Linked DNA regions of Mus musculus. The protein of the gene in region 2 interacts with the protein of the main gene of each other region in a pairwise test. Links are inferred from orthologs where the notes say so. Each region holds a gene or a part of one and is shown on either strand. Other genes may lie near its edges. The genes, in order: Rps3a1, Hsp90aa1 and Keap1.

Region 1 (9,675 bases), on a different chromosome or scaffold from region 2:
GGTTCAAGCCTGATAAAGTCCTAACACTGAGAGGGAAAGGCAGACATGGGGTCTGCTTTGTGGTTTTTTAAATTTATTTTTATTTTTTAGTTTTTTTTTTTTTTTTGGTTTTTCGAGACAGGGTTTCTCTTTATAGTCCTGGCTGTCCTGGAACTCACTTTGTAGACCAGGCTGGCCTCGAACTCAGAAATCCTCCTGCCTTTGCCTCCCGAGTGCTGGGATTAAAGGCGTGCGTCACCACGCCCGGCTATTTTTAGTTTTTTAAAGACAGGAGAAAACAGAACATAAAGTTGGACGGGTAGGGAGGCAGAAGATCTGGGAGGGATTCAGAGAGGGAAAAACATGATCAAAATATGTTGGGCAGTGGTGGCACATGCCTTTAATCCCAGCACTTGGGAGGCAGAGGCAGGTGGGTTCGAGGCCAGCCTGGTCTACAGAGTGAGTTCCAGAATAGCCAGGGCTATACAGAGAAACCCTGTCTCGGAAAACCAAATAAACAAACAAAAACAACTCAAGAAACAAACAAAATATGTAGCGTAATTCTTTTCAATAAAATAATAAAGTCAGATTCTCACTATATAGGCCTGACTGGCTTGGAATTCACTATGTAGACCAGGCTAGCCTCTAACTCATAGATCCAATTGTCTCTGCCTCCTGAGTGCTGGGATTAAGGGTGATACAGGGTCTCATGTCTCATTTGAGGCTCTGTTGGCCTCAAACTCCCTATGTGTTACCTTGAACTCTGATCCTCTGCACTTCCTGTGTGTTACACATGCCGCTGCCACCTCCTCTTCCTCCTCCTCCTCCTTTCCTCTTTTCTCAAATAGCGGTTCTCTGTGTAGCCCTGGTTGTCCTGGAACTCTGTAGACCAGCCTGGCCTGAAACTGATCCACCTGCCTCTGCTTCCTGAGTGCTGGGATAAAGGCAAGCACTACTACTGTTCAGGCGTGCATTTCTACACCCAGTTCATGTGGTGCTAGGCTTTGTGTCAGACGAGCATCTAGGAACTGGGTTACATCCCTAGCCCTTTGTTTCTGTCTTCTGAATTGTAGTAAGAAAAATAAGATCTATTTTCAGATTACCTTTTGACGTGGGGAGGAAGGGAGTTTGGTGAACTGTGCTGAAGATCAAGTCAAGGCCTTCCTAACTGTAAGACAAATGATCTCTATCACTTACTTACATTGCAGGCCTCATCTTAACGATCTCTGAGGATACACTTGGGTAGTTTTAAATAGAGTCACACAGTAAGGACTGGAGACATGACAGACAACTGAGATTTGTGGAGTTACTGAGGACTTTTTGGGTGGGACTAAAGGGTCAGGGAGATTGGCTCAGAGGGCAGGGGTAGGAGGACTAGGAGGGATCTTAAGAGTTAAAGGCTTGCCGAATGGAAGCTATGCTGTAGCTGTGAGGGTTTGGTGGGACTTAATGACTACCAAGAAGAGCCTGAGGGCAAAGAAAAGCCCCGAGGGCCCAGCATCCAAGGTGTCTGCCAGGCGTGACTAGTCACAGACTGGGGAGTTCAAGTGCTTTTAACATGACCGATCGGAACAAAGATGGCTTCATCAACAGAGAAAAGTTTCATCATATGCTTCCTTGTTGGAGAAAAAGTCCAGCTGATGAGCATCTTGACTGATGCTATGATTAGTGAGGCTTCGGGTTCCATCGAATTCTGACAATGTCTTCTGAGAAGTTAAACAGGACCCATTACGAAGTTTGGTACCCTTCAATGGGGTGACTCGATGGAGGAGCAGGAATGGTGTGAGAGATCCATTTATAGGACAGGGTGGATGAGCTGCAGAGAAAGGCACCTGTTGACAGAAAGGGAAACTTGATTACACTGGACTCATACACATCCTAAAGAGAGAGAGGCAAACGACAGAGAGGATGGAGGAGAGCCTCACATTCAGCTAGAAGCCAGAATATGACGAGACTTCTAGCTTCTTGGGAACCTGAGGTGGGAGGATCCTGTAAGATCTGGGAGAAGGCGAAGCCACATACAGAAACTCCATCTCAAAATAACAATAATAGCAACAGTTGTAACCAAATACTCCTAGCTACTACTTGGGGTGTTTATATTATAACACACACACACACACACACACACACACACACACACACACACACATTTACACATTTCTTTATGGTCAAGGACGATGAACCAAGTTACCTTGGTCACACCAATATACACTGTCACAGAGCAACATTTCCAGTCCTAGGTCTTCAGAGAAAGGCCTCACTGTGTAGCCCAGGCTACCCTCAGAGACTCTTGTCTTGGCCTTCTGAATGCTAGGATTACAGGGGTGTGCCATCACCCCTGGCTCCACAAGTTCCTTTCAACTAAACAGGTTTTGCTGTTCTTGTTTTAGCCTCAGACAGCTGGGTACATGTTATCTTTATAATAGGCATTTCTGTCATTTCCCAAATATAGGGTAACATGACGGTAGCCCTCCTCTCAAATCAGAGTCAATTTTGTTAAAGAAAGTTTTCAATTTGTTTCTGAACCCTAATCAATCTTTATATCTGAAGGGGAAAAAAAGCATTTAAAAACTTCTTGGGAGCCTGGTGAAGAGGGAGTTGGTTCTGATTTGGTCACCATTTTTTTTGTTTTTGGCCTTGGCTAGAGAGGATGTTAGAGTTCTGCCCTTGAGGTAGCTGGTGACATGTCACCAGGCTGTGATCTTCTGAACTAGATGTGGCAGAGCATGTCAGCAATGCCGGCACCCAGGAGGCGGAGGCTTGAGGAAGGTGAATTTGAGGTCAGCCCGAACAACACAGGAGGAATCTTGTTTTGAAAAATACTAACATAAGAATGGGGAAGCCATTTTTTATGGTGGGGGTTTGGGGATGTGGAGGGGTGGAGATAGAGGTAGAGAAATGGCTTAGTGGTTAAGAGTAGTAGTGACTGCTCTTCTAGAGGACCCAGGTTCAATTCCCAGGACCCACATGATAGCTCACAACTGTCTGTAACTCCAGTTCCAGGGGATCTGGGACTTTCACACAGACAAACATGCAGGCAAACCATATAAAATAAAAATAAAGACATCACTTTTAAAAGTGGGGAAGGGGTGGTTTGCATTAAGAAAATTGGTGGGCAGTTAGGTACAACAATTGATCACGACTGTGCCTTTTTGGGGTGCTAGAGATGGAATCCGTTGTCTCAGGCATGCTGAGGCTTTTCCAGGACACCACTCTAGTCCCCACTCCACTAAAAACCCAAACACTCCTCCTATCCCAGAAAAAACAAAACCAACCAACCAAAAACCCAGGGCTGTCGAGATGGCTCAGCTGGTAAAGGCACCTGCAGAGACCTCTCAGGCAGTGAGGAGGCAGGGCACATTGTATGGCAGCGCTGCGGGCCAGTGTGCGCAGGATGGCAGCCTCTCCCTGAGCCTTATACCCACATAGTGGAAGAAGAGAACCAACTCTTGAGAATAGGTCTCTGACCTCCACACAGAGACCTGTGAGGCACAGGACCACACACATAGTCATACAAAAAAAAAATGTGATTACAAATGTGTAAGAGTTACATATGTATATATGTGTGTGTGTGTATATATATATTCTCTCCTCTCCCCTTCCCAGTCTGTCTTGCTAGGTAGTTCAGGCTAGTACTCACCATATACTCCAGGCTCTCCTCCAACTTGCTGTCCTCCTGCCTCCAGAGCTCTGGGATTGCACACACGGCTAAGCCTCTTTTTTCATGAAAGTTCACAACACAGCCAAGCCCAAGAGTAGTCAGCACGTGAACAGCGTGCCCGAAGTCATGCTTATTGAATTACACTAATGTTTTGAAATAGATCACATGAATATTCCCGTTTTACACCCGAGGGAACTGATGGCTAAAGAGGTCAGAAGGCTAAGTACTGTTGGAATCACCATTTGAACATGGATTTGCTATCTCTGATTCAAAGCCCATGGTCTAGGGAAGAAACGTACTCTCAAAATTAGAAACAGAGAGTTCCCACCCTCGGGGCAACGGAAACCACAAGAAACCTGAAGTGGGTTGAGCATCTCTGACAATCTGCAGGCTCCCATGCACAGCCTAGCCAGCCCGCGGCCCGCTGCGCGACCTCCCGACACACGAGGGCGCTGTCGCAGCACGGCGGGAAACGAGCCGCCAGCTAGTGTCGCGAGATTCTTAAAGCCGGAAGGGCGAAAGAGCAAGGGTCACGTAGACGGCGCTCCCCGCCCGGCTCGCGTTAAGTTCTCGCGCGAGTTGTACTTCCGCCCTTTTGGCTCTCCGGTCGGCACCATGGCGGTCGGCAAGAACAAGCGCCTGACGAAAGGTGGCAAGAAGGGAGCTAAGAAGAAAGTGTGAGTGGCGGATCGCGCGGGTCCCCGGCCGTTGGGCTCCGCAGGAGTTGGTGGGCGGGTTCTGGGGTGCGGCGTGGGGCGGATGGTGAGGATGCGGGGTGGATTGCGCGGCGGTGCTGCGCTGCGCGGCTGGCGGGTGCGTCCCGGGCGGCCGCCTCTCCGCCACCCGGCCGGGTGTCGCGCGCCGCGTGTGATCTCCGCCCTGCGTCTCTAGCAGTCGCTCGCGTGTCGCGCGCGAACTGTGGGCTCCTGGGTTGCTGGAAGTCCGTGGCACTTTTTAACACCGCTCTACGTCAGTCACTCTGGCTGTCCATGTCGGGACCCCATGTCAACTTGTGTGCTGGGCTCTCGTGGGACCGACCTGGAGACCCGGGACACTTGTTTAGCAGCAGTTTGTGCTGTTGCGGACCAGTCACTGTCACAGGTCCCTGAGGTTCCAGGGCAGTGTGTATATAGTACTGCCTGTGTGATGGAGGAGTGGGGAAGGCATGGCTTCGAACTTACTGCTTTGTGCACTGGCAGACCAGCCGGCCTCGCAGACGTTCACCCCACGGGGAGGACGTCCGTCGTGTTAAGTGCAGGCCGATTGCAAGATCGTGCCTGGGAAACTGTTAACAGAAGTCTGAAGGATAAGAAGCGTTTAAAAGTGGTCGGGAGTGTTGTTACAATTTACAGAGAAACTTGAGGTTATTTTTCTCCCATCCAGGGTCGATCCATTTTCTAAGAAAGACTGGTACGATGTGAAAGCTCCAGCCATGTTCAATATTAGGAACATCGGGAAGACACTAGTCACGAGGACTCAAGGAACCAGTGAGTACTGTGGGCCCCTTTTGCTTTGTTCCTAAGCTGTGGCATGTGCATATTAACCGGCGCCTTGGTCAACTCTGATGGGGCGCTGGATTGAAATGTCAGCCCAGTGGTTGGAGGGCCTGGCATTGGGAGTGCTTGGTCTTAGTACAGATGTGGCAGCAATGAAGTGTTTGTACAGCTGTCCAAGAGAACGTTTAGGTGTTGGCAGTAAGCCACTGGTGTGAAGGTGGGTTTGGTTAACAAGTTAACAGGGTTTGTGGTTCTTTTTTAGAAATTGCCTCTGATGGCCTCAAGGGTCGTGTGTTTGAAGTGAGCCTTGCTGATCTACAGAATGATGAAGTTGCGTTTAGAAAATTCAAGCTAATCACTGAGGACGTTCAGGGCAAAAACTGTCTGACTAACTTCCATGGTATGGATCTTACCCGGGACAAAATGTGCTCCATGGTCAAGAAGTGGCAGGTGAGACCAAAAGCTGCGAGTGTGAGTGCTGTGGTGTGGGTGTGCAGATGTGTCATGGGTGTGTTGGTTGGTAGGTAGTATCAAAACATGGAATGGAGAAGTTGGTTTCATTTCATTTGAGTATCACTGTTAATTCTTGAGTGCTGGAGGTAGAATCCAGGGCTTTCCACATGCTGGGACATCAGTCCTAACATTGAGCTGCATCCTTTAACTTGGTATTGCTTGTTACGGCCACATTAGGTGAGTTGGGCAGCTTTGCCAGTTTGGGGACTGTTCTAGGGTTAACATCGTTAGAGTTGATAGAGAAAAGGTGCTCTATCTAGCTGACTCAGTTGTCTGACAGTGGAGTGTGGCTAGAGTCAGATTCGGTCCCCTTCTGTCCTTGAAAGTAGTAACAAGCTTTGATAGCTTAATTTCTTCAACATCAGCCCCTGGGGTTGTGAAGATGAAATGACATGTAGGGAAATGGGCTTAGCATGGTGACCAGCAAAGAAGGCTGATTCAAGGGAAAGCTGTTCAGATGTATCCTGATATTGACATTGTATATGGGAATGAGTGATGACAAGATGTTTCGGTCCCAAATGAAGCCTACTGATTACCGTAACATTTATTGCTGACATTCCCTTATACTTTATGTAATTTTGGAAATAATAGGCTATTTAGTACATACTGATGTATATACTCCTTTGCAGTGAAGTGGATGCCAGGATTTTGTTTCCGGGCAGTTCTGCTGGTCTCAAATTCTTGAGTGATAGGATTGAAGGCATGTACCACCGCTCACGGCAAATATTGGGTATATTTGAGAACTTAATATTTGTAAAATTCAAAGAAATCAGATCGCTTTGCCACAAAAATGGTCCTCTAAAAGATGGTAGTATGGTCTAATTACAGATTTTGTTTAGCTTTGGATCTTAGCTTTGGAATTATGTTTTTAAGTTCTTTGTGTAACTTAGGAATAAAAAGGCATTTAGAAAATACAGTTTTACAGCAGAACTTCTCCACTGCCCTCTTTCAAGAAAGGATCTTCAGGTCTGGAGGGATGGCTCAGCAGTTAAAAGCACTGACTGCTTTTCCAGAGGTCCTGAGTTCAATTTCCAGGAACCACATGGTGGCTCAAAACCATCTGTAATGGGATCTCATGCCCTCTTATGGTTTATCTAAAGACAGCTACAGTGTACTCACATAAAATAAATTTTTTAAAATAAAAAGGGTCTCCAACCTGTTGTGATCTGGTACTTGCTATGTAGACCTTTGTATACTGAGTGCAAGGATTGCAGACATCTGTCATGTACAGCTTATTGTGTGTTTGGTTTTTTTGGGCTCAAATTCCTAAAAGATCCAACATTTTTGTGTGTCCTGCTTGGAGTACTGAAACTAAAGCCGCCACACACAACCTATTTTTCCTTTCTAACAGGATCTTTCTTTTCTTCCTTTTGTGATTTTTTTTTTTTTTTTTTTTTTTTTTTTTGAGACCGGGTTTCTGTGTGTATCCCTGGTTGTCCTGGAACTCACTTTGTAGACCAGGCTAGCCTCGAACTCAGAAATCCGCCTGCCTCTGCTTCCTAAGTGCTGGGATTAAAGGTGTGCGCCACCACACCCGGCTATTTTTCCTTTTTAAAAGATAATATTCAGTTTCATTCTGTCTATACTATCTTAGAATTTAACTTACAAAGCTTTTATGTTTGAGGGATGTTGACATAAATGTAAAGGGTATGGGTCCAGTTGATTGTTTTAAAGGGAGGGCAACAATGATTTTGGGGTATCATTTTAATTTCACTTTAAGGAAGTGCCATAAACGGTATATTTGTCACGTGGGCTTGACATTTCCAAGGTTTTACATTAGCACTTAAAATGATTTAGGCCGTGAAAAACATAAAAGGGAGGGGAATCTCTGAGTTCAAGGCTAACCAGGGCTATGCTGTGAGAACCTGTCTCAGAAAACAGCAAACCCCAAAACCATTATGAGCTGACAGTATCCTTTTCTCACTAGACCATGATCGAAGCTCACGTTGATGTCAAGACGACCGATGGGTATTTGCTCCGACTTTTCTGTGTTGGCTTCACTAAGAAACGCAACAACCAGATAAGAAAGACATCCTATGCGCAGCACCAGCAAGTCCGCCAGATCCGGAAGAAGATGATGGAAATCATGACCCGAGAGGTGCAGACTAATGACTTGAAGGAAGTAGTTAATAAACTGTAAGTGCGTTTCTTTTCTCTCCTCTAAAAATGTTCAGAATGCCTGTTAAATCATCCTTCTGTTAAAGAAGAGGTGGAGTTGGACCTCAGCTTAAGCACTTCTAACATTGAAGTTATCTTACAGTGGACAGTGAAAATTAGACTTAATACACAATGAATAACAACTTTAATAATGCATGGGAACATGTGATGAGAAACTGTTTCGGTCCCAGTTGATGGCCACTGATAACATTACATTTTTCTGATGTTCCCATGCAGTATACAGGTGGTTAAGCGTGTTAGACAAAAAAGCATAAGGAAGACTTAAACGTTGATTTTGTTGCTAGGTGTTAAATTTAGATACTAAGATTGTTTTTTTGCCATTTAAAGAAAATTGCTTCTTGTATGAGAGACTTTGGTGGGTTTTTTGTTTGCGTGTCTTTTAAAAAAAGTTTATTGTTCTTGCAGGATTCCAGACAGCATTGGGAAAGACATAGAAAAGGCTTGCCAGTCCATTTATCCTCTCCATGACGTCTTTGTTAGAAAAGTAAAAATGCTGAAGAAACCCAAGTTTGAATGTAAGTGGGAAATCATGTTTCATGAGATAGAAGTTTGTGGAACCAAGTACGTGGTTTTAGAAATGACTGGTTAACATTCTTGATGGGTGTATGTGTATGAGTGATTTGCCTCTGTGTGTGTGTGTGTGTGTGTGTGTGTGTGTGTGTGTGTACACACGTTCCTGGAGACGTTGGTGTTGAGGGGCTGCGGCTGCAGATGGTTACGAGCCACCTGTGGGTGCTGGGTGCTCTGCAAGGACAAGTGCCACCTCTTCACCACTGAGCCAGCCTCTGCATGAAGGTTTTCAGGGCAAAGTAACGGTCGCTTCCTTCGGGCTGTAGTTTAGGTTCTGATACTTGTTTCTAACAGGATCCTCTTCCTTTTCCTTTCAGTGGGCAAGCTCATGGAGCTGCATGGGGAAGGCGGCAGCTCTGGCAAAGCAGCTGGAGACGAGACGGGTGCTAAGGTTGAGCGAGCTGACGGATATGAACCGCCAGTCCAAGAATCAGTGTAAAATCCAGATTTTTAATAGTGACAAATAAAAAGTCCTATTTGTGATCGTTTGCTTCTGTCCATTGATTTGAAACACGAGAGCCTGGTGAATCAGGTGTTGATTTTAGTGGGTTTTATCCATTAAGTTAGAAGCCAGGTTAGTAATGAGACAGGGTGGGGCTCTGTCTGGCCTCCAACAGATTTGCATATATCTGGTTTTAAGGCGTGTGCCACAACACCCTGAAAATAGAAACCAGCATACTCCCAAAGTTCTTTTCTCCCTTTAAATAACCACACTGCTCAGTAGCAGAGTTAGTTATAAAGTAGCAGCAACAAAGATGGTTTTATCATGGCAAAAAGGGTCACAGCATTAGGGTGGTTAGGACCACTGGGTTAGACTATATATACTTGGTGAACCAGAAGACTGAAAACTGAAAATCATAAGATTTTATGAAGCCCAGGGATCATCCAGATCTCGGGCCTTACATGTGCTAGGTAAGTGCTTTGCCACTGAGCGTGTGTGTGAGTGTGTGTGTGTGTGAGAGAGAGCGTGTGTAAATGTGTACATGTGCTAGGTAAGTGCTTTGCCGCTGAGCCTGTGTGTGTGTGTGTGTGTAAACGTGTGCATGCCACTCCAGAAAGTTCATATTTATGGAGATCCCTAGATTTTTCCAATAGATAACTCAGTTTCTTAATTTTCATTAAGCAGTTCCCCCCCCCCCCCAGTTTTAGCCTATACATTCACAGGGTAAAATTTTAATAATCCTCTAGGCAAATAGTCTTGTTTAAAGTATTAACAAAATAGGTGCCTTAGACATGGTAGCAAGCAAATACTATCACAACTACTTTTCTAGCTGTGAA
Region 2 (9,927 bases):
CCACACTTCTTTTTATCTCCTCTGTATTTATCTTTTAAAGCAGAATGTGATTGGGCACTGTTATTTCCATTCACAAGCCTTGCTGAGTTACAAGACCTAGGAAACTTAGGGTTGTTCTCGGGACTTTGGAAAACAAGCCACTTGGGGAATTCCTGTCAGGTTGTTTTAACTTGTGTTTACTTCTAAGACTAATACATGCAGAATTAACTACAGGAAATGAAAATTTTAAGATGTAATTTAAGCCATCTTAATTTGGTCTCCTAAGGAATCCAGCTCAACAGCTAAACACTTCAGACCAGAGCAAACATGAACAGTAGGTTACGTTACGTCTTATAACAAACGCTCTATCAACCTCTTGAGTTAAACCTATAGTATCACAGTATCACATGTAGAAATTTTATCTTCCCCTTAGTTTTCATGCCACACAGATGTTTTAAATGTTAACAAAAATAAACAAAAATCATGGAAAATATATTATCAGAAGGAATGAAGGTAAGCAAACACATAGTTCTGGTGACTTAGTCTACTTCTTCCATGCGTGATGTGTCGTCATCTCCTTCCAGGGGAGGCATTTCTTCAGTTACAGCAGCACTGGTGTCATCCACAGTAGGATCATCCTCATCAATACCTTGTTTTGGAAATAAATGTTACAGTTAATGTCCGCTAAGGGAGGCGGAGACTTGCTTTAGACATTAACACCCCATCCAATCCCCTGAAAGGAAACTTTATTCATAGGGGGCAAGCCAAGTATGTGCCTATAAACCCCAGCACTGGGACAGAGGCAGAACCAGCCCAAAGCCATCCTCAAACACAAAGGTCACTGTTCATTTCATTCAAACCCTTTAGCTGAGGCTTCCATAACAGCAATAATCCAATTGTTTCAATAGCTACAAAAGTCAACTTCGTTTTTTTGTTTTTAAAGCCAGGGTTAGTATATATAGCTTTGGTTTTCCTGGAACTCTGTAGGCCACACTGGCCTAAAACTCAAAGGGCCTATCTGTCCCTTTACACCCTGACCCCAGCACTAGGATTAAAGGGGAGTTGCAACAGGTTTCTTTCCCTTATGTTAGTTACAGGTAGCCTGTAATTTACCTAGACCAAGCTTGATCATCCTGTAGATCCTGTTAGCATGGGTCTGGGGATCTTCCAGACTGAAGCCAGAAGATAGGAGTGCAGTTTCATACAGCAAGATGACCAGATCCTTCACAGATTTGTCATTCTTGTCAGCCTCTGCCTTTTGCCTTAAGGTTTCAATAATGGAGTGATCAGGATTTATCTCCAGGTGTTTCTTTGCTGCCATGTAACCCATTGTTGAGTTGTCTCTGAGGGCTTGAGCTTTCATGATTCTCTCCATGTTTGCTGTCCACCCATATGTGCTTGTGACAATACAGCACGGGGATGTCACCAGTCGGTTTGACACAACCACCTAAAATTAAAACAAAAACTAAGTGATGGCTTAGGCCATAGAAGAACTTACCAGAAAGAAATGATTATTTGAAACTGTAGGCATTAGCAGTGATTTAGTCAAAACTCAGATAAAAGGACCAAACTGACTACGAGTGATGTGTAACCATTCACATACCTTTTCAACCTTCTTCTCCAAAATATCTTTCATAATTTTGCAGAGGTTCTCAAATTTTGTCTTTTTCTCTTCCTGTTTCTTCTTTTCCTCTTCATCTTCTGGAAGTTCCAGTCCTTCTTTGGTAACAGACACCAAGGTCTTGCCCTCAAATTCCTTCAGCTGTTGCACACAATACTCATCAATGGGCTCAATCATATAAATTACTTCTAAGCCATGCTTTCGGAGACGTTCCACAAAGGCGGAGTTAGCAACCTGGTCCTTGGTCTCACCTGAGACAATATATATATTTATATTGTTAAGTTACTTTTAGAAATGGTTTCATGTATTCAGCTTTCCCTTAGGTACAGGCTGGACATTCTTGCCTCCTTAAGTGCTGTCCAACAGGTAGAGAAAACACCTGTTTACTTGACCATTACCTGTGATAAAATAGATGTGCTTCTGGTTTTCCTTCATTCTGGTACAGTAGTCCTTCAGAGAAACCATCTCGTCCCCAGAAGCAGATGTGTAGTACCGCAACAGCTCTGAAAGCTTCTTCCGATTCTGAGAGTCCTCGTGAATTCCAAGCTGAAGCACAAGCACAGGAAAGCCATTTATGAAGCATTAGCCTTTAATCCCCACACTTGGGAGGCAGAAGCAAGTGTGTGAGGACCCCTCCCCCAATCAAGTTAGTTTGGAAAACTGCCAGTAACAAGAAAATGTACCACCAACCTTTATATTTTTTGAGAACTGCTCATAAAACTTTTTGTAGTTCTCTTTATCTTCTGCTAGTTCAGTAAATAGTTCTAAGCATTTCTTGACCAAATTCTTTCTGATAACTTTCAGAATTTTACTTTGTTGCAGCATTTCACGGGAAATATTTAGAGGGAGATCCTCAGAATCCACTACCCCTCTAATGAAATCTGGGGAAAAACAAAGACACCTATTTAATCATTCTGAAACCTAAGGAATCTTTTTGGCTTTTTTCCAAGGGGACTGAGCCCAGAGCCTCAAACAAGTTAGGCAAACCCCGTCTCCACTAGGTTACATCCTCAGTCCCCCACCAACACAGACCCAACGAATGGGATTTTCTGTCTGTCAACAGTGCCGATTCTTCCCATCCCTACTTACTCAGATACTCAGGGATTAATTCCTCACAGTTATCCATGATAAAAACTCTGCGAACATACAACTTGATGTTGTTCTTTTTCTTTCTGTTTTCAAACAGATCAAAAGGAGCGCGTCTTGGGACAAAAAGAAGGGCCCGGAATTCTAATTGTCCTTCAACAGAAAAATGCTGCAATAAAATGAAACAACCTTTTAATGCCATGGACAAAATGAATTGGCTTTCTCTACTGGGCTAAGTTACACTTCGAAGCTTTTCTATAGGTGAGTATAGAGGTTTAAAAAGTCAACCTGAAAACCTGCTTTTAAGTCACTCACCTTTACTGCCAAGTGTTCTTCCCAATCGTTAGTTAAGCTCTTGTAGAACTCTCCATATTCCTCATTAGTGATGTCATCAGGATTTCTCGTCCAAATCGGCTTTGTTTTGTTGAGTTCTTCTTGATCAATGTACTTTTCCTTTATCTTCTTCTTTTTCTTCTTGTCACCATCCTTCTTCTCCTCCTCTTCTTCATCAGAGCCAACATCTTCTATTTCAGGTTTATCATCAGACTCCTTTTCTTCTTTTTCTTTCTCTTCCTCTTTCTCTTCCTTTTCTTCAGCCTCATCATCACTGACTTCCTTATCTCGTTCCTTCTCCACCTTGAAAGGCAAATCACTTCATTATAAATTTATACAACTAGGACAGATCTCAGAAATGTGTACAACCAAGAAGCCTCTCATCAGTAGTTTCTCTAATTTCTCCACAATCCTCTTCAGATACCACCTTTCCAAACAGGCTAATCTGTCTAGTACAACACCAGGTTCACAGAACTCTAAACAGCCTCAGTTATCTCAATTATATGAAATTTACCCTGTAGGTAACTTACAAAGAGAGTAATGGGATAGCCAATGAACTGAGAATGCTTCTTCACGATCTCCTTTATTCTCCTTTCCTCCAAATACTCTGTTTGGTCTTCTTTCAGATGCAAGATAACCTTTGTTCCACGACCCATTGGTTCACCTGGAAAAGAAAAGGGCAATGGTTACTATTCAAAGCCTCCATGCTTGCTGGAGGTTTCCTAGCAGCTAACCTTCCCCACAAATGCAAAGGTCTCCAAAGCTTTAACTTCCTTGCCCAAGATGTACAACTGAGCAAACAGCCATACATTTTTCCTATTTCCTAGCCCAGGTCCTGAAGCTCCCTTTAGATTAACAATTTTGTTGAAAAGCTCAGGACTTAGCACTAAGGCTATGTATGCCAGACTGCTCTTTAACTCTTCAACTCTCCAAGTTAACCCTCTCAAGCACTTACTGAAGTTAACCAGACACCCCCTACAATTGAATACATTCCTTTTGGCCTATGCCTACCTGTGTCAGTCCTCACTGTGAAGGATCCCCCAGCTGAGGACTCCCAGGCATACTGCTCATCGTCGTTATGCTTCGTGATGACAGTCACTTTCTCAGCAACCAAATAGGCAGAGTAAAAACCAACACCAAACTGGCCAATCATAGAGATATCTGCACCAGCCTGCAAAGCCTCCATGAAGGCTTTGGTGCCCGACTTGGCAATGGTGCCAAGGTTATTGATCAAGTCGGCCTTGGTCATTCCAATCCCGGTATCCACAATGGTCAGGGTTCGGTCCTGTTTGCTGGGAATGAGATTGATGTGCAGCTCCTTCCCCGAGTCCAGTTTACTGGGGTCCGTCAGGCTCTCGTAACGGATTTTATCCAGAGCCTATTAAGAAAAGATTAAAAATGAAAAAACCGTCAAGCGCAAACCCCAAGGTGAAATTTTCAGGGAAAGCAACGTCCAATCCTCCAAGTGGTATACTCACGTCCGATGAATTGGAGATGAGCTCCCTCAGAAAGATCTCTTTGTTCGAGTAGAAGGTATTGATGATCAAGGACATTAACTGGGCAATTTCTGCCTGAAAGGCAAAGGTCTCGACCTCCTCCTCCTCCATTGGTTGGTCTTGGGTCTGGGTTTCCTCAGGCATCTGGAACACAGAGGACGACTCTAAAGCCTCACAGAATGGCTGCAGGCGTGCTAACGACCGCCCCTCCTCTATAGAGGTCTCTTACCGACTCTATTTTGGACTAAGAAAGGGACGAAATAGAAAAGGGCGACGGGGCGGGGGGTGGATGACAAAGGGATGACCTCATTTCAGAATGCGGTAATTACGAAGCGCATGTGCGCGCCTCCGGGAGGACGTTCGGACCCGGGCGGCTCCACGCACGCCGTTCCTAACGGCCACCCTCCCCCAACCCGCCGCTATGGCGCCTCCCTCGCCCGCCCGCGCCTCGGCGGCACCGGCGACAGCCCAACCCTCGCTTCGCTCGCCCCGCGCCCGCCTCGCCGCCGCCACCGCTCCTCCTCGGCGGCCATTGCCGCATCCCCGGCCTGGGGCGTAGATATGAGGCCCGCCTGGGGCCTAGGGTCGGAAGCCATGGCCGCCCACCTCCGCGGGCTGAGGGAACTCGGATGGTGGCCCCGCTGCCGCCGCGGCGCCAGCAACCTACGGCCCTGCTCCCCAAGCCCCCGCTAAGTCCGCCTGCGCCATCACTCACCGTGGCTGAATGAACACGCACGAGACGTGACGCTCCGCACCAGGACACTGAAGCAACTGGCGCGCCGCCCCCTGCGCCGGCCTTATATAGAGGCGGGCCCGCCCAGCGCGCGGCGCTTCTTTCCAGAAGCCTCCGGAACCTTCCGGAAGAACCCTCCCCAACCGTCGCCTCGGCCGCGCGCCCGCGCCTGCGCAATGGACGGGCCCCGCCCCTCCACCTGGAGCGCGCCGAACCCGCGCGGAGAACGAACGCAAGCCCCTCCTCCACAGCCAGGTGCTCTGCACATGCGCAGTCCGGAACGCTCGGCGGGCCGGGCGCCTTCCCGGGCCGCACGCGCGCGCGCGGACGGGCCGGCCAGCGCATGCGCCTGAAGCCTCCATGTGAGCCCTGTGGTCTAAGGCTTCTTTTCCCCGGCGCTCTGTAAAAGGGACGTCCCCATGGGAACGCGCGCGTGTTGTGTGAACCTCGCGGTCCTCTGCGGCGCTTTAGGTCCTTGCAGGCAAAAGGTCCCCCTTCGGGCTCCCTTTGGGAACGCGGACCCCGCAGGAGGCGAGTCCCGCCCCCCCCCTGGCTTCCACCTTGATGGGTGGGGCGCCTCCCGGACTGGGGTTCTGGTTGCGTAGTCTGAATTTCAGGGCTGACCCCGCTGGAGTGTGTTCTGAAGCCTTACAGTGGGCTTACTGAGAGACCTTACACGGTGGGTCTTACAAATCCGTCCAGAGTGCTTGGGGATTTCTCTTTGACCAAAAGCTATGACCCTCAAATTGGGCGTTGTGAGGGATTTTGTATCAAATTTGTGCTACCTTAATTTACTGTAATTTTGGGGCTGGAAAGATGGCTCTTCCAGTAAAGGTGCTTGGGTTTGATATCTGCCACCCAGAGCGTGGGAAAAAAAGCTAGCCTTCAGCGCTGTGTCTCCCACGTGCCCATACACACACACACTCGCACAGTGTGAAAATAAGTGTAAAGGACTAGAGAGATGGCTGGGAGCAGTTAGTGGTGCCAAACACGCACGTTAAGGCAGCTCACAACCACCAGTTACTACAGTTCTTGGAAATAAACTATCCTCTCTGGCCTCCACGGGCACCAGGAACACACATGGTGCACAGGCACACGCAGTCAAAAAATGGTCATATAAAACACTCTATCCTGATTTTTGAAGCACCTTCATATGGTGTACATACGAAGTTACTTTGGGCGATTAACGTGACCCAAAAGATAGTTTCCTTGTTTGTTTATCTTTAATATAGGCTTCGGTTTCACTCCCCATACCTTTCCTTTGGGTTACTCCCACCCTGTATTTCCTATTTCCGCATCTTTTCCTGCTGACAAAACGATTACTAAGATTAGAAAGAAAAGGGCTGGAGAGATAGCTCAGTGGTTAAAAGCATGGACTGGTCTTCCAGAGGACCCAGGTTCAATTCCCAACACCCACAAGGCAGCTCACAGCTGTCCATAACTCCAATATCTGACACCTTCACACAAACATACATGTAGGCAAAACACCAATACACATAAAATAATAAATAAAAGCTTAGAAAGAAAAGAAGCCGGGAAAGAGGAAGCCAGGCAGTGGTGGCATAAGCCTTTTTAATCCAAGCACTCGGGAGGGAGTCAGAGGCAGGTGGATTTCTGAGTTTGATGACAGCCTGGTCTACAGGGTGAGTTCCAGGACAACCAGGGAAACCCTGTCTGGGGGAGTTGGGGGGAAGAAAGAAGAAAGAATGTGCTCTGTGGACAAAAACACAGCAGGCAATTTCCTCTGGGAGAGGAAGAAAGTCACCCATCTCCATCTCGCCCTCCCTCCAGGGAACGAGGCCCTTTCCCAGCAGCTGAGGAAAGACCTCTGGCCCCCCTCTCTGAACTGAGTGGGGGCATTAAGTAGAAACAGTTTTCTTTTTTGAGGTATTAGCTTTTTTTATACAGGATCACATTTTGCAACCCCTTGCTATGCAGAGCAGGCTGGCCCTGAATTCACATAGATCTGCCTGCTCCTGTTGAGGTGTGTATCATCGTCCCCAGCTGTACTCTCCAGGGCCACTCCTTTTCCCTAAGACTGGCCTTTTGTGTTGGGTGCCAGGACTATTAGGTGTTGATTTTTAATTGTTTGCATAAAAACCACAAGTCAAGCTCCAAGCTGTTAGGATCTCTACCCTAGAAGGGACTTTTGCTTTTTAGTTTTGGTTTTGTGGTCTCCACACCAGGAATGAACCCAAGGCTACCTATGTGATACACTAGGCAAGCTAGGCCCTCCACTGGGCCAGAACAGGCTCTCAGTTGCCAATACTTGCTTTAAGGGAACTTTAGCACAGGCAGACTGAATTTCCATCTTCCTATCTCAGCCTTCCAAGTAGCTGGGACTGAAGGCCAAGATCTGGCTTAAGGTCTCCTGTTATCAATCAGGCCAGCAACCAACCAATCAACTAAAATCTAAAAAGGAAACCAGTAGAGGAAGCAAGTTTAAAGGGTTTCTGGAAGGCGGGGTGACCAACATGAGGTAGCGTAGAAACTTAGAAACGTAAAGGGGCACAGGAGAGAGAGCCTTCACTCCGGAGTCTAACCCAAGTTCCTCACCAACTGAGAGTCACAAACTTCAGAACAATTAACAACCTTTGCTTGTGAAGGTTGTCTGCAAAGACTATATTCCTTGTGTAGCATTTTGTCTAAGGTCCGCCTCACAGTTATCTGGCTACAGCCAGCCAGGTACCTGACTCACTGTAAAAGGGGCTGTTCTGCGGCCCCTCCGCGGCTCGCTCGCTTGCTCTTGGCTTCTTGCTCCTGCTCTGTCCTCTTGCCCCTCCCCCCTTCTCCTCCCCCCTCTCTAGCCATGTGCTCATGGCCGACTTCTACTTCTCTGCTCGCTCTCTCGCTCGCTCGCTCTCTCTCTCCCTCTCTCTCTCTCTCTCTCTTTGCCTTTCTCTGTCTTTACTACCCTCTCAACTCCCCTGGTCCCTCAGGGAGAAAGGATGCCTCAGCAGGGGCCGGCAGAGGCACCACTTCCCCCATACCTGACACCTTGACATCTGACTCCACCTTCACCAAACATATCCCCCCTCTCCTTATCTTTTTATAAAACACAACACCTTGTAAATAGAGATTTAAAATAAGAATGCTAAAAATGAAAGGCTGAAGAGATGACTCAGCAGTTAAGAACCCTGGCTGCTCCTCCAGAGAACCCGGGTTCAAGTCCAGCACCCTAGATGACAGCTGGAAGTCCCAGGGGTCTGACTCCAAGCATACTGCATGTACACAGTACACAGCCATTCATTCAGGCAAACAGCTCTTCATAGACAGAAAAATAAACTGAAACAAAAAAAAAAGTTAAAATGAACCATGCTTAAGACCCAAGCATCGGGACTGGAGAGATGGCTCAGTGGTTAAGAGCACTGACTGCTCTTCTGAAGGTCCTGAGTTCAATTCCCAGAAACCACATGATGGCTCACAACCATCCATAATAAGATCTGACGCCCTCGTCTGGTCTGTCTGAAGACAGCTACAGTGTACTTACATATAATAAATAAATCTTAAAACATAAATAAAAAATAAAAAAGACCCAAGCATCATGCAGGAGAGTTCCATTCTCAGCACCCATGTAGCAGCTCACAGCTGTCTGTAACTTCAGTTTTAGGGAATTCACACCCTCACACAGACCTACATTCAGGCTAAACACTAATTGCACGTTACGACGGCAGAAACCTAAAATGTCTAGGCATCTCTGCCCTCATGCCCTTTCTAGATGTGAGTTCAAAATGTTCTGGGAATCTCACAGACTAGCCTAAAACTTTGGCTTGTGATTAAAAACATCTTAACTCTGTTTGACCCCTTGGTGGCCTATGGCTCTTAGTTGTCATCTTATTCAGTGCACCCCAGGGCCCACCCTAGGGTCTCATCTAAGTTCTTCAGCACCCCTTTGAAACATAACTCTAGAAGCCACTGCGATCCTATATATAGCTACTGAGTTGACACTTGAGCACAACTCTCCTGAGTTTGTATGTGTGCGTGTGTGTGTCTTGCTTTTCCTGAGCAGCTACTGATCCTCCTGCTTAAATATATGTTAAAATTTCCTCTTAAATTCTAGCTCTACTTGACACTAGCTTGTCTCAAACATCTTTTCAACAGTAAAGTTAAGAATGCTGTTTTTGTCAGGTGGTGGTGGCACACACCTTTACTCTCAGCACTTGGGAGGCAGAGGCAGGTAGATTCTGAGTTCGAGGCCAGCCTGGTCTACAGAGTGAGTTCCAGGACAGCCAGGACACAGAGAAACCCTGTCTCCAAAACCAAACCAACCAAACAACAAAGCAGCAGCCCGGTTTCACCTAGCTAGAAGGAAGCTGCTTAGGCAGCCGCAGGCAACGGCATGAAACTGTTTCCGGCTCACGTCCCAATGTGGCTGACCATTATTGGGATATAAGCGGCTGGTGCAGGCACAGTTCAGTAAAACTGGAAGACCCTGGAAAAGAAGGATGAGAGAGACTGGAGTGTATGTGAGTGGGGTCCAAAACTAGGGTGTGGGTGTAAGAGAGAATGGGTAGGAGCTTCCATCCCAACTGTTAGCACTTTGGGCTCTGTCCCAGTTACCTGGCAAGAAACAGGTGTGGCTGATTCACTATGAAGGGGCTGCTGGCCCTTTCTGCTCTCTCTTGCCTGCTTGCTCTCCTCTCTCCATTCCCCTCCCCCCTCTCTCCATGTGCTCATGG
Region 3 (9,857 bases), on a different chromosome or scaffold from region 2:
TAGCCAGCGACGGAGGGGGACATACAAGAAAGAAGGGAAAGTGATTGATCACCCCATAACAAGAACAGACAAAAATGCACTCGGGATCTGAGATGGACAATAAGGGAAAGAAGAAAGTGATGAGAAGGTATCCAGGTAGTGGAACCTAAGCTGGGAAGCCCTGAAGGAGAGCCATTCCATATGGCTGCAGCAGAAATTGAGGAGCAGGAGATGAAAGGGCAGGTTGTGGGGAAGTCTTGTTGGTTCTGAGGAAGTCCTTAGGTTTGGCTCTGAGTGAAGTGGGAGCCATAGAGAATTCTAAACAAAGGAGGGACTCTCCTGGATTCAGACCTCCACAGGTACCCTGTGACTACCAAAGTTCAAGGGGAATGGCTAAAAGATGAAGGGATAAAGGAGAGCGGGGCTCCAAGAATGCTCAGAACCAGGTGATGTCTAGATAAGAGTGTGCTAAGGGCTGGCAGGAGTAGTGGCTGGCTACAGAGGAAACAGAGCTGTGGACAAAGGTAAGCCTAGGTCTGGAAATTTGGCTCTGGAGACTGTCAGATATCAGCTGCCAAACTTCCAGAGTGTGGACAGGTTCTTCATACAAATTACAACCACAATAAAAACAATTCAAGGAGTTGTCCTTACTGGGATCTTTCAGAATCTATTCATTCATCTATTGATTTTTTTTTTTAATTTTCCCCCAGAAAGTTGTAACTATCCTCTTTAAAAGTGTTTATTTATTGGGGTTGGAGAGATGGCTCAGCAGTTAAGAACACTTGTTACCCTTGCAGGGGACCTGTGTTCCATTCCCAGCACCCAAGTGGTGATTCTGGCAACTTCAGTTCCAAGGTTATCTGATGCCCTCATCTGACCTCTGAGGGCACCAGGCATGCACATGGTACAAAGATTGAATGCAGGCAAAACTCTCATACAAACAAGCTAAATAAATCTTTTAAAATGTTTAAAATTGTTTATTTATTCATTGTTTATTTTGAGAGAGACACTCACTATGCAGCCTCAGATGGCCTGGAACTCACTAGGTAAACCAGGCTGGCCTGGAACTTCTGAGTGCTAATTTGGGCTGCGCAGGGTGGGGTGGGGGTGGGGGTGGTCCTGGATATGCCTTTACTTTACAGCAACATCATTTCAGGCCAGCCTGGGCTACATAGTGAGACTGTGTCTTTTTGTTTTTTGTTTTTGTTTTTGTTTTTCGAGACAGGGTTTCTCTGTGTAGCCCTGGCTGTCCTGGAACTCACTCTGTAGACCAGGCTGGCCTCGAACTCAGAAATCCGCCTGCCTCTGCCTCCCGAGTGCTGGGATTAAAGGCATGCGCCACCATGCCCAGCTTGAGACTGTGTCTTAAAAGCCTTTATCTACTTATGTATTTTGTGCCTGTGTATATGTACGGGTACCCATTGGGCACAGCAGGAGTGCAGGCGGAGGTCAAAGGACAGCTTTCCTCAGTCGGTTTTTTCCTTCCAGCACAGGGATCCTAAGGATCCAACTCAGGCTGTCATTCTTGCCAGCAAACACCTTTATCCCCCGAATATCCTTTGCCCTACCATCTCACCCCCACCCCTGTTTGCTTTGCTTTGCTTTCTCACTAATTATGACAAACATCTACCGATTCCCTACGGTGAGAAGCTCTTTTAGACTGTTCATCAGCCTTCCCCAACCAGATTCAGAACAGCATCACCTGACTCGCCCATCCTGCAAATAGTGCCCCCTCATGCCTGCTCCCTGCTCCTACCCGCTTCCCCCCATACCCCCCACAGACAGCATAGGTTTAAACTGTTCATTAAACTTGTATGTCAACTTCGGCCATGTTCATCTGGTTCATATTCATGCGAGGTCCTTGACACCAATGACAAGGTTGCTCTGTGCCGTGGACAGGTTCCTGGACTCAGATGGTTCTGCACGTCGAGGCTGCTCCTGTGCACTCCAGGTTCAGCATGAGCACACACCCCGCAGCCCCCACACTGAGACAACGCTTCTTGTACCCAGACTGACTTTAAATATACTACGAAGCCAAAAAAACGACTTTATACTTGTGAATTTTGTTTCCTGTGAGCAAAGGTGTGCTCTGCCACACGTGGCTTATGCTGTGTGGCGACAAAACCCAGTCCCAGCCCTCAACCTCCATTTGGTAGATGAAGAAACTAACAGATTTCCCTTGCCCCAGGGTCTTAGTACGGCTTTACCCTTGGGACCCCCATGCAGGAGGGGCTTGCCTGGTATTCGCTGCTCTTAGTCTAAGATTCCCTTGAAGTCTCTGGGTGTGGGCGCCACCTTGCAGTAGCTCTGAGAATTGCCTGGGTTCTGCTTTTAGCCGCTGGTTAAGGAACAGCGCGTCCCTTGAGGTAATTCTGGGAACTGCAAGCAGAGTGAAAGCAGGTGGTGAAGGGGATGCGCTCAGGTTGGGATTGCGGGCCAACTTGCATAAAATGAATTTTTTCCCCAGAAGTTCGCGAAAAGCTAGCAGGGGTGAGGGGTGGGGATACAGTCCGGCTGGCTCCCAGAGACCCTCCCTCAGATCTCATATCTTTCCTGGTGTGTTGGCTTGGTGGTTTAACAGTAGGGAACTTAGAGATTCTGATATTAAATTTAAAAAGTACTCAGTTCCCTATTTAAATACCAAATTTAAAAAGCACTGTTGGGATTTGTAGAGACCTTCCAGACATATTCTGTGGGAAAATGACCTGAGATGGGTTTTTTGGTTGTTGTTTTTTGCCATTTTGATTTTGGAAGAGGGTCTCACTATGTAAGGCAGGCTGTACCACTTTGTAGCCAAGGACGTCCTTCACTTTTCTGATCCTTCTCCTCCAGCTTCCTGGGTGCTGGCATTACAAGTGTGTCCCAATTTCAGCTGTCCTGCATTTTTGTTGTTGTTTTGTTTAAATTATTAAGTTAATAGAACAAAGTAAGGTTTTACCATGCAGTCCAGGCTGGCCTGGAACTTGCTATGAGCCCTGGCTTGTCTCAAATTCACAGAGATCCACCTGTCTCTGCTTCTTCTAAAATTAAGGGTATACGACACCATGCCTGGCTTTCCTTGCCTCCCTGACCCCAGACAGAGTCTCACTGTGTAGTCTGGGCTGTTCTCAAACATTCAACCCTCTGCTTCAGACTCCCGTGGTAAATTTCTTTTGAAACTATCCTTTTCTTTGATATTTATTCATTTGTTTTCTGATATAAGGTCTTGCTAGGTCGAGCAGGCTTACTGTGAACTGGAGGTAATCCTCCTGCTTCAGTGCCCTGGTGGCTGGGATTACAGATGTGTCCCCTCAATATTCTTATTTTTAGATTTATTTCCTTTTATGTACACGAGTACTTTGCTTGCCTGTATGTCTGCGCACCACCTACCTGCATGGTGCCCACAGAGGTCAGAAGACAGCATGGGGTCCCCTTGAACTGGAGCTATGGATGGCTGTGAGGCATCGTGGCAGTGGACTCCAGGTCCTCTGCAAAAGCAACACGTGTTCTAAACCACCTTTCCTGGTTTTCCGAGACAGGGTTTCTCTGTGTAGCCTGGCTGTCCTGGAACTCACTGGGTAGACCAGGCTGGCCTCTGCCTCCCAAGTGCTGGGATTAAAGGCGTGCGCCACCACGCCTGGCTTAACTTTATGTTTCAAAGTTAATTTATGTGTGTATGTGGAGGTTATCGGACAACAACCTGAAGGAGGAAGCTTTCTACTACTATGTGAGTACCAGAGGTGGAACTTAGGTGGCCAGAATTGGCCAGACGCTCCTTTACCCACTGAGCCATCTTGATAGTTCAAGAAAATAACTTTCTCTCATAAATGCCATATGCAGCAAATAAGTATCTCTTACCATTAAAAATATATAAAGATGTTACGAGAAATACAAAGAGGCAGCTCTGGGCATTCCAACACTCCAACACCCTCAGATGAATGCCATACCTCTCCTCATGAAAACATGAACACACAGAGAGGAGAGTGTGTCTCTGGAGCACTCGAGCTGCACTTTGCAGGCTCCACATAGGGGAAGAGAATCAGTTTCTGCCAGCCGTCCCCGACCTCAACACAAGCACACACACAAATTAATGTACACAAAGCCCAGAGTGATATCCCAGCCTTTAACCACAGCACACGAAGGAGGCAGAGGCAGAGGCAGGAAGGTTTCTGTGTGTTCAAGGCCAGCCAGGGCTATGTAATGAGGCCTGTCTCAAAAAGAAGTTATAAGGCTGGAGTGATGGCTCAGCAGTTAAGAGTACTTGCTGCTCCTGCAGTGGTCCAGGGTTCAATTCCCCCATTTGCATGGTAGCTAACAACCACCTGTAACTTTAGGGGACACTGCACAGCCCACGTTGCACAGACATACATATACAGGCAAAACACCCACACGCACAAAGTAAAATACAAATTGAAATAAAAACATTAAAAAGTTATTTTACAAGAAGATAAATATCGCAACCAGGTAGATGGGTCTAGTTGGACCGTGCAGGCTGTGGGAGGGTCCGCCGGTGCAGGTTCAGCTGGAGGCGTACCGGACAGCCTAACCCGGAGGCAGCCTCCTAGGGCCGCCCAGACCCACGCCCTGCTCCCTCCGCCCGGCACCTGCAGGAAGGGCTGGAACTGCCTCTGCGTACCCGCCGCCCGTTTCCGCCCTCCCGCTCCTCCCACGCGTGCCGCCCGGGACCCCGCAGCACCGCTGCCCCGATCCGAGCCCTCCACCCCCACTCCGGTCCCCCTCCTCTCTTCCCGGAAGCGCGGCGCGTGGCGGCCCGGCGGCGCGGATTGGACGCGTGGCACCTACAGAGACACCCGGGGGGGTGGGACGGAGGTGAGCGAGCGCCCGCGGAGGATGCGGTGGGGAGCCAGCTCCGGGAGCTGCCCGCGGTCGCGCGTGGGGCCGTGCACGCGGTGGGGGGAAGCGCGTGCCCTTCTCCAAGCGCGCACCCCGCCGCCGAGCCCGTGAGCCCTCGTAGGGTGGTGGCCGCGGCGAGTAGAGGTAGGGGTCGCCCGCGGCCGGCGCCCCGGGACTCTTATTGTGACAGGGTGGCGCGCTGTGCTTAGTCACCGTGACCCGCGCGGCGGAGGCGGAGGCAGAGCGCGGCCATGGCGGGGTGAGTGAGCCGCTCCAGGCCGCGGCCCGGGACCAGGCCCTGCGGGCTCTCCCGGCGTCAGGGCTGCGCCTCCGAGCGGTGGGGAGGCCGCTGGAGCAGGCGCCGGGTACCGGGCGGCCGCTGCACAGCCCCCTGCGCAATGCCAGGCCCGAGCTCCGGCAGTGTGGTCACGCGTGACAGTCGCTCACTAGCTGGGGCCCCTGGAGCATTTCATCCCCCCCCTCCCCACGGTGATCTAATAGACAAAACACGCGGAGTCGCGACTCCAGGCTGAGCCCAGAACCTGGGGAGCCAGACGCAGACCCTCTCTTGTCTCCCCACATCTTCTTTGAAAGCATAATTCCTCCCCTGGCCCCAGGTCTCCAAGGGTCTCCTGAATCCCTCCCCGTGGGTGTTCCAGATGCTGCACACTCTCTTGCCCCAGGAGCTTGGTGTTCGCTTAGTGTTTCCTATACAGACCTTGCTTTATTTTTAGGCCTTTTCTGTCTTCTCGCTGTGTCTCTGGAGCTCAGAGCAGTCCCAAATACATAAATGGCAGGCTCTGTAAATGTTGGTGTGGTGTTGAAAGGAATCTGACATGTTGGACGAAGGCAAGGGGAGGGAAGGATGGCTGGAACAGTGAAGAGGTTGGAAAGCGGGTGTGGAGTTTTACAGGCCATTGACGATTTGGGGTTTCCATTCTTGGGCTCGGTGAAAGGTGTTGGGTGATTCTGAGCAGGAAAAGGAACATGATATGCCCTGAAGGCCCGCGAGTTGAGAAGTTAGTTTGAATGGAGCCGGCTGTGTCCAGTTTACTTGGCTTGGCAAAATCTGCACTTAGATATCATTGCTTAGTCTTGCAAAAAAAGAAGCCTGGCTGGACATGGTGGCACATACTGTAATCCCAGCACTCGGGAGGAGCCAGCTTTGGTTGCATAGTGAGTTGGAAGCCAGCCTAGGCTATGTAAGACCCTGTCTCAAATAAAATAAAATAAAGTGGCAGGGTCTGGTCTAACCCAGCCTCTGTTCCCAGCGCTGTGCTCTTCCCTCCCTCCAGGCCCCTAACGGCTAGCAGAGGAACTGTGTCTTGTCATCAGGAACCCCATGCAGCCCGAACCCAAGCTTAGCGGGGCTCCCCGCAGCAGCCAGTTCCTGCCCCTGTGGTCAAAGTGCCCCGAGGGGGCCGGGGACGCAGTGATGTATGCCTCCACGGAGTGCAAGGCAGAGGTGACGCCCTCGCAGGACGGTAACCGAACCTTCAGCTACACACTAGAGGATCACACCAAGCAGGCTTTTGGCGTCATGAACGAGCTTCGCCTGAGCCAGCAACTCTGTGACGTGACCCTGCAGGTCAAATATGAGGACATCCCAGCTGCCCAATTCATGGCTCACAAAGTGGTGCTGGCCTCCTCCAGCCCAGTCTTTAAAGCCATGTTCACCAACGGGCTTCGGGAGCAGGGCATGGAGGTGGTGTCCATCGAAGGCATCCACCCTAAGGTCATGGAAAGGCTTATTGAGTTCGCCTACACGGCCTCCATCTCCGTGGGCGAGAAGTGTGTCCTGCACGTGATGAACGGGGCGGTCATGTACCAGATTGACAGCGTGGTTCGAGCCTGCAGCGACTTCCTCGTGCAGCAGCTGGACCCCAGCAACGCCATTGGCATCGCCAACTTCGCGGAGCAGATCGGCTGCACTGAACTGCACCAGCGTGCCCGGGAGTATATCTACATGCACTTCGGGGAGGTGAGTGAAGCCGGGCTTTGGGCTCAGAAGTGGGATAGGCCAGCGTGGCGTTCTCCCCTGCGACAGGCTGGAGGAAAACTGTTGGGTGTTTTCTTTTTCCTTCCTTCTTTTCTCCCATAGGGTCTCATGTAGTCCAGGCTGGCCCTAATCTGGTTGGGTATCTGAGGATGACTTTAAATTCCTGATTCCTGTCTCAGTCTGTCGAGTACTGTAGTTACAGACGTTCGCCCTCCCAATACTTAATAGAATGGAGGCCAGCAGTGCCCCGGAACTTGATTTTACTTTTGTTTTTAAATCTTTTTTAAAAAATTATTTGCCTTTAGTTTCTGTGGATTGGCGTTTTGTCTGAATGTTTGTCTGTGTGTGAGGTGTCAGACCTTGGAGTTACAGACAGTTGTGAGCTGCCATGTGGGTGCTGGGATTTGAACTCGAGTCTTCTGGAAGAGGCCAGTAGTACCCTCAACTGTGAGCACCTGTGGTCTTATTTTTTGACAGTATTCTTCTTCTTCTTCTTCTTCTTCTTCTTCTTATTATTATTATTATTATTATTTTGGTTTTGGTTTTTCAAGGCAGGATTTCTCTGTGTAGCCCTGGCTGTCCTGGAACTCACTCCGTAGACCAGGCTGGCCTCGAACTCAGAAATTAGCCTGCCTCTGCCTCCCAAGTGCTGGGATGAAAGGCGTGCGCCACCACACCTGGCTTGACAGTCTTCTTTAGCTGAAGCTTTTTTGTTTTATTTATTTTTGTTTTTCAGGACAGGGTAACAGTCCTGTCTGTCATGGACCTCAATGTGTAGACCAGCCTGGCCTTGAACTAACAGAGATCTTCCTGCCTTTGGGAGTAAAGGCCGCATGTGCCACCACACCTGGCTATTGAAGTTGCTTTTTGTTTTGTTTTGTTTTAAGTCCTGTCTTTGCTGTCACTTTCTGAGTGCTGAGTAACACCAAACTCTGAAGAAGTTAAAAAAAAAAAAAAGATTATATTTATTTGTGTGTGTATACATGTACTGATCTTGTGTGCAAGTCGGAGGACAAATTGCAGGAGGTGGCTCTCGCTACCTTATATACGTTTCTAGGTTAAACTCAGGTAGGCCTGGCAGAAAAGTGCCTTTACCCACAAAGCCACATTGCTGGCCCAAAAACTCAGATTCTGAGCCCCTAATCCAAATACAGAGAGCCCTTAGGAATAGGTAAAGATGTGCCCTCCCAGTGCCTCAGCAGCCTGATCTCCCTGGGGTTAAAAGTTGTGATGGCCAGCCTGAGCTACACAGCGAGACTCTGTCTAAAAAAAGTGGTGTGTGTGTGTGTGTGTGTGGTGGTGGTGGCGGCACTCAGGAGGCAGAGGCAGAGGCAGGCAGATCTCTGAGTTCATGGCTAGCCTGATCTACCAAGGGAATTCCAAGATAGCCAGGGCTACAGAGAGAAACCCTGTCTTGATCTCCTCCAGAGCAGGGCAAAGTGTGATGAGCAGGCAGGCACCAGCACCCGCCAGCCTCACCCATGCAGGCTCCAGCTTTGCTTGGCTTTCCCTGGGTTCACTTGGTATTGCTTTCATTTTCGTTTCTCAGTGCAGGAAGTCTGCAAGAGAAAGTAATGGGACAGTGCTGGGGAAAGCCTTGCTCTTGGGTGGCAGTGACTAGAAAAGTCCCCTGGACACGACTGCATTCTGAATATCACCAACTCTGAAGTGCACCCAAGGCTTTTGAACACCATGTGCCGTCCACACCTGACCTCACCAGATGGGTGGCAGTGACCGCACAGGCACACTGTGCATAGGGCATACCATCTTCAGAGGGCCCATGTGCTGCTGGATTGCTAGGACACTTTCCCAGCATGCGTGAAGCCCTGGGTTCCATGCCCACCTCACATAAACCAAGTGTGGCTGTGCACACCTTTAATCCCAGCACTGGGTAGGCAAAGGCAGGCAGATCTGTGAGGCCAGCCTGCTCTACATAAAGTTCCAGGCCAGTTACACACAGACAAACACACACACACACACATACACACACACAGAGAGAGAGCCTTGAAGCTGTGTAAGGTCAATATGGACCAGCATAAAAGTAGTTTGTTTATTTATTTAGATTTTTGAGATAGCAGGTTGTCATGGCCCTTGGCTTTTGTCTGAAACTCAAGATTCTCACATGTCAGGTTCCCAAGTGCTGAGACTTGACATGGGCCTTGATGGCTCGAGTGAAGTTGTTTATACCATACTCTTATTCCTTAGGTGTCTCATCATTTGTGTAAAATATTCCTACATCTGAAAAAAAACAAGTGCCAAGCTGTAAACTGCCAGTCATTTTATGTTTTATTTTTATTAATCTAAAAATTGTATTGTATTGTATTGATTTAGGGGGCAATGTGTGTGCCACAGTTCATGTGGAGGTCAGAAGACAACTTGCAGGAGTTGATTCTTCCAGCATATGAGTCCTGGGGTTAAATAAACAAACAAACAAATAAACAAATTAAGAACCCAGTGCCTTTCTGAGCTAGTAAAGGCACTCACTGCCAAGCCAGAAGACCAGTCCCAGGAAGGTGAGACCCCCCCCCCATCAGACATGAGTACATTCACACACATACACAATAAGCCAATAAGTAAATGTAATTAAAAACTATGTAGAACAGGTGGCCTGGAACTCACAGACATCTTCCTCTCCCTTCCAAGTGAATATTAGTCCAATGCTGGGATTAAAGGCCAGACTAGGTTCAATTGTTTATTTTGATATAAGATCTTACTATGTTGTCCTAGCTGGTCTGGAACTGGCTTATGGGGACCAATCTGGCCTTGAATTCAGACATCCTCTTGCCTCTGCCTCCCCTGATATGGGGGATTATAGGAGTGTGCCACTACACCTAGCTATATATATATTTTTTTAAAAAAATTAAAACTAAAATCAATACAGGAGCCTAAAGAGTCCACAGTGTGTGGCCTGTGTGACCCCCGGTGTATGGGTGCTCGGCCTGGATGGAGGGCTTCCCTTCTCACCTGAGCTCCCTGCAGGTGGCCAAGCAGGAGGAGTTCTTCAACCTGTCACACTGCCAGCTGGCCACGCTCATCAGCCGGGATG

The links.
Region 1: the proteins of Hsp90aa1 (region 2) and Rps3a1 interact in binary tests that used the Homo sapiens proteins (3 or more experiments, as listed by UniProt). The link is inferred for Mus musculus from reciprocal best matches to the Homo sapiens genes HSP90AA1 and RPS3A.
Region 3: the proteins of Hsp90aa1 (region 2) and Keap1 interact in a two-hybrid assay, tested with the Homo sapiens proteins (2 studies listed by BioGRID). The link is inferred for Mus musculus from reciprocal best matches to the Homo sapiens genes HSP90AA1 and KEAP1.

The regions. Positions count from the first base shown.
Region 1 is NC_000069.6:86,137,150-86,146,824, reverse strand, and holds Rps3a1 (40S ribosomal protein S3a), read left to right. Parts: upstream 1-4,156; 5' UTR 4,157-4,255; coding exon 4,256-4,317; intron 4,318-5,023; coding exon 5,024-5,127; intron 5,128-5,398; coding exon 5,399-5,586; intron 5,587-6,137; exon of another isoform or gene 6,138-6,208; intron 6,209-7,576; coding exon 7,577-7,785; intron 7,786-7,966; exon of another isoform or gene 7,967-8,034; intron 8,035-8,232; coding exon 8,233-8,342; intron 8,343-8,714; coding exon 8,715-8,836; 3' UTR 8,837-8,885; downstream 8,886-9,675.
Region 2 is NC_000078.6:110,691,022-110,700,948, forward strand, and holds Hsp90aa1 (heat shock protein HSP 90-alpha), read right to left. Parts: upstream 5,375-9,927; 5' UTR 5,231-5,374; intron 4,660-5,230; coding exon 4,498-4,659; intron 4,398-4,497; coding exon 4,031-4,397; intron 3,684-4,030; coding exon 3,550-3,683; intron 3,323-3,549; coding exon 3,002-3,322; intron 2,856-3,001; coding exon 2,690-2,855; intron 2,482-2,689; coding exon 2,291-2,481; intron 2,147-2,290; coding exon 1,999-2,146; intron 1,852-1,998; coding exon 1,583-1,851; intron 1,427-1,582; coding exon 1,093-1,426; intron 629-1,092; coding exon 519-628; 3' UTR 15-518; downstream 1-14. UniProt on the Homo sapiens protein: Molecular chaperone that promotes the maturation, structural maintenance and proper regulation of specific target proteins involved for instance in cell cycle control and signal transduction.
Region 3 is NC_000075.6:21,234,007-21,243,863, reverse strand, and holds the start of Keap1 (kelch-like ECH-associated protein 1), read left to right. Parts: upstream 1-4,531; 5' UTR 4,532-6,154; coding exon 6,155-6,793; intron 6,794-9,790; coding exon 9,791-9,857. UniProt on the Homo sapiens protein: Substrate-specific adapter of a BCR (BTB-CUL3-RBX1) E3 ubiquitin ligase complex that regulates the response to oxidative stress by targeting NFE2L2/NRF2 for ubiquitination.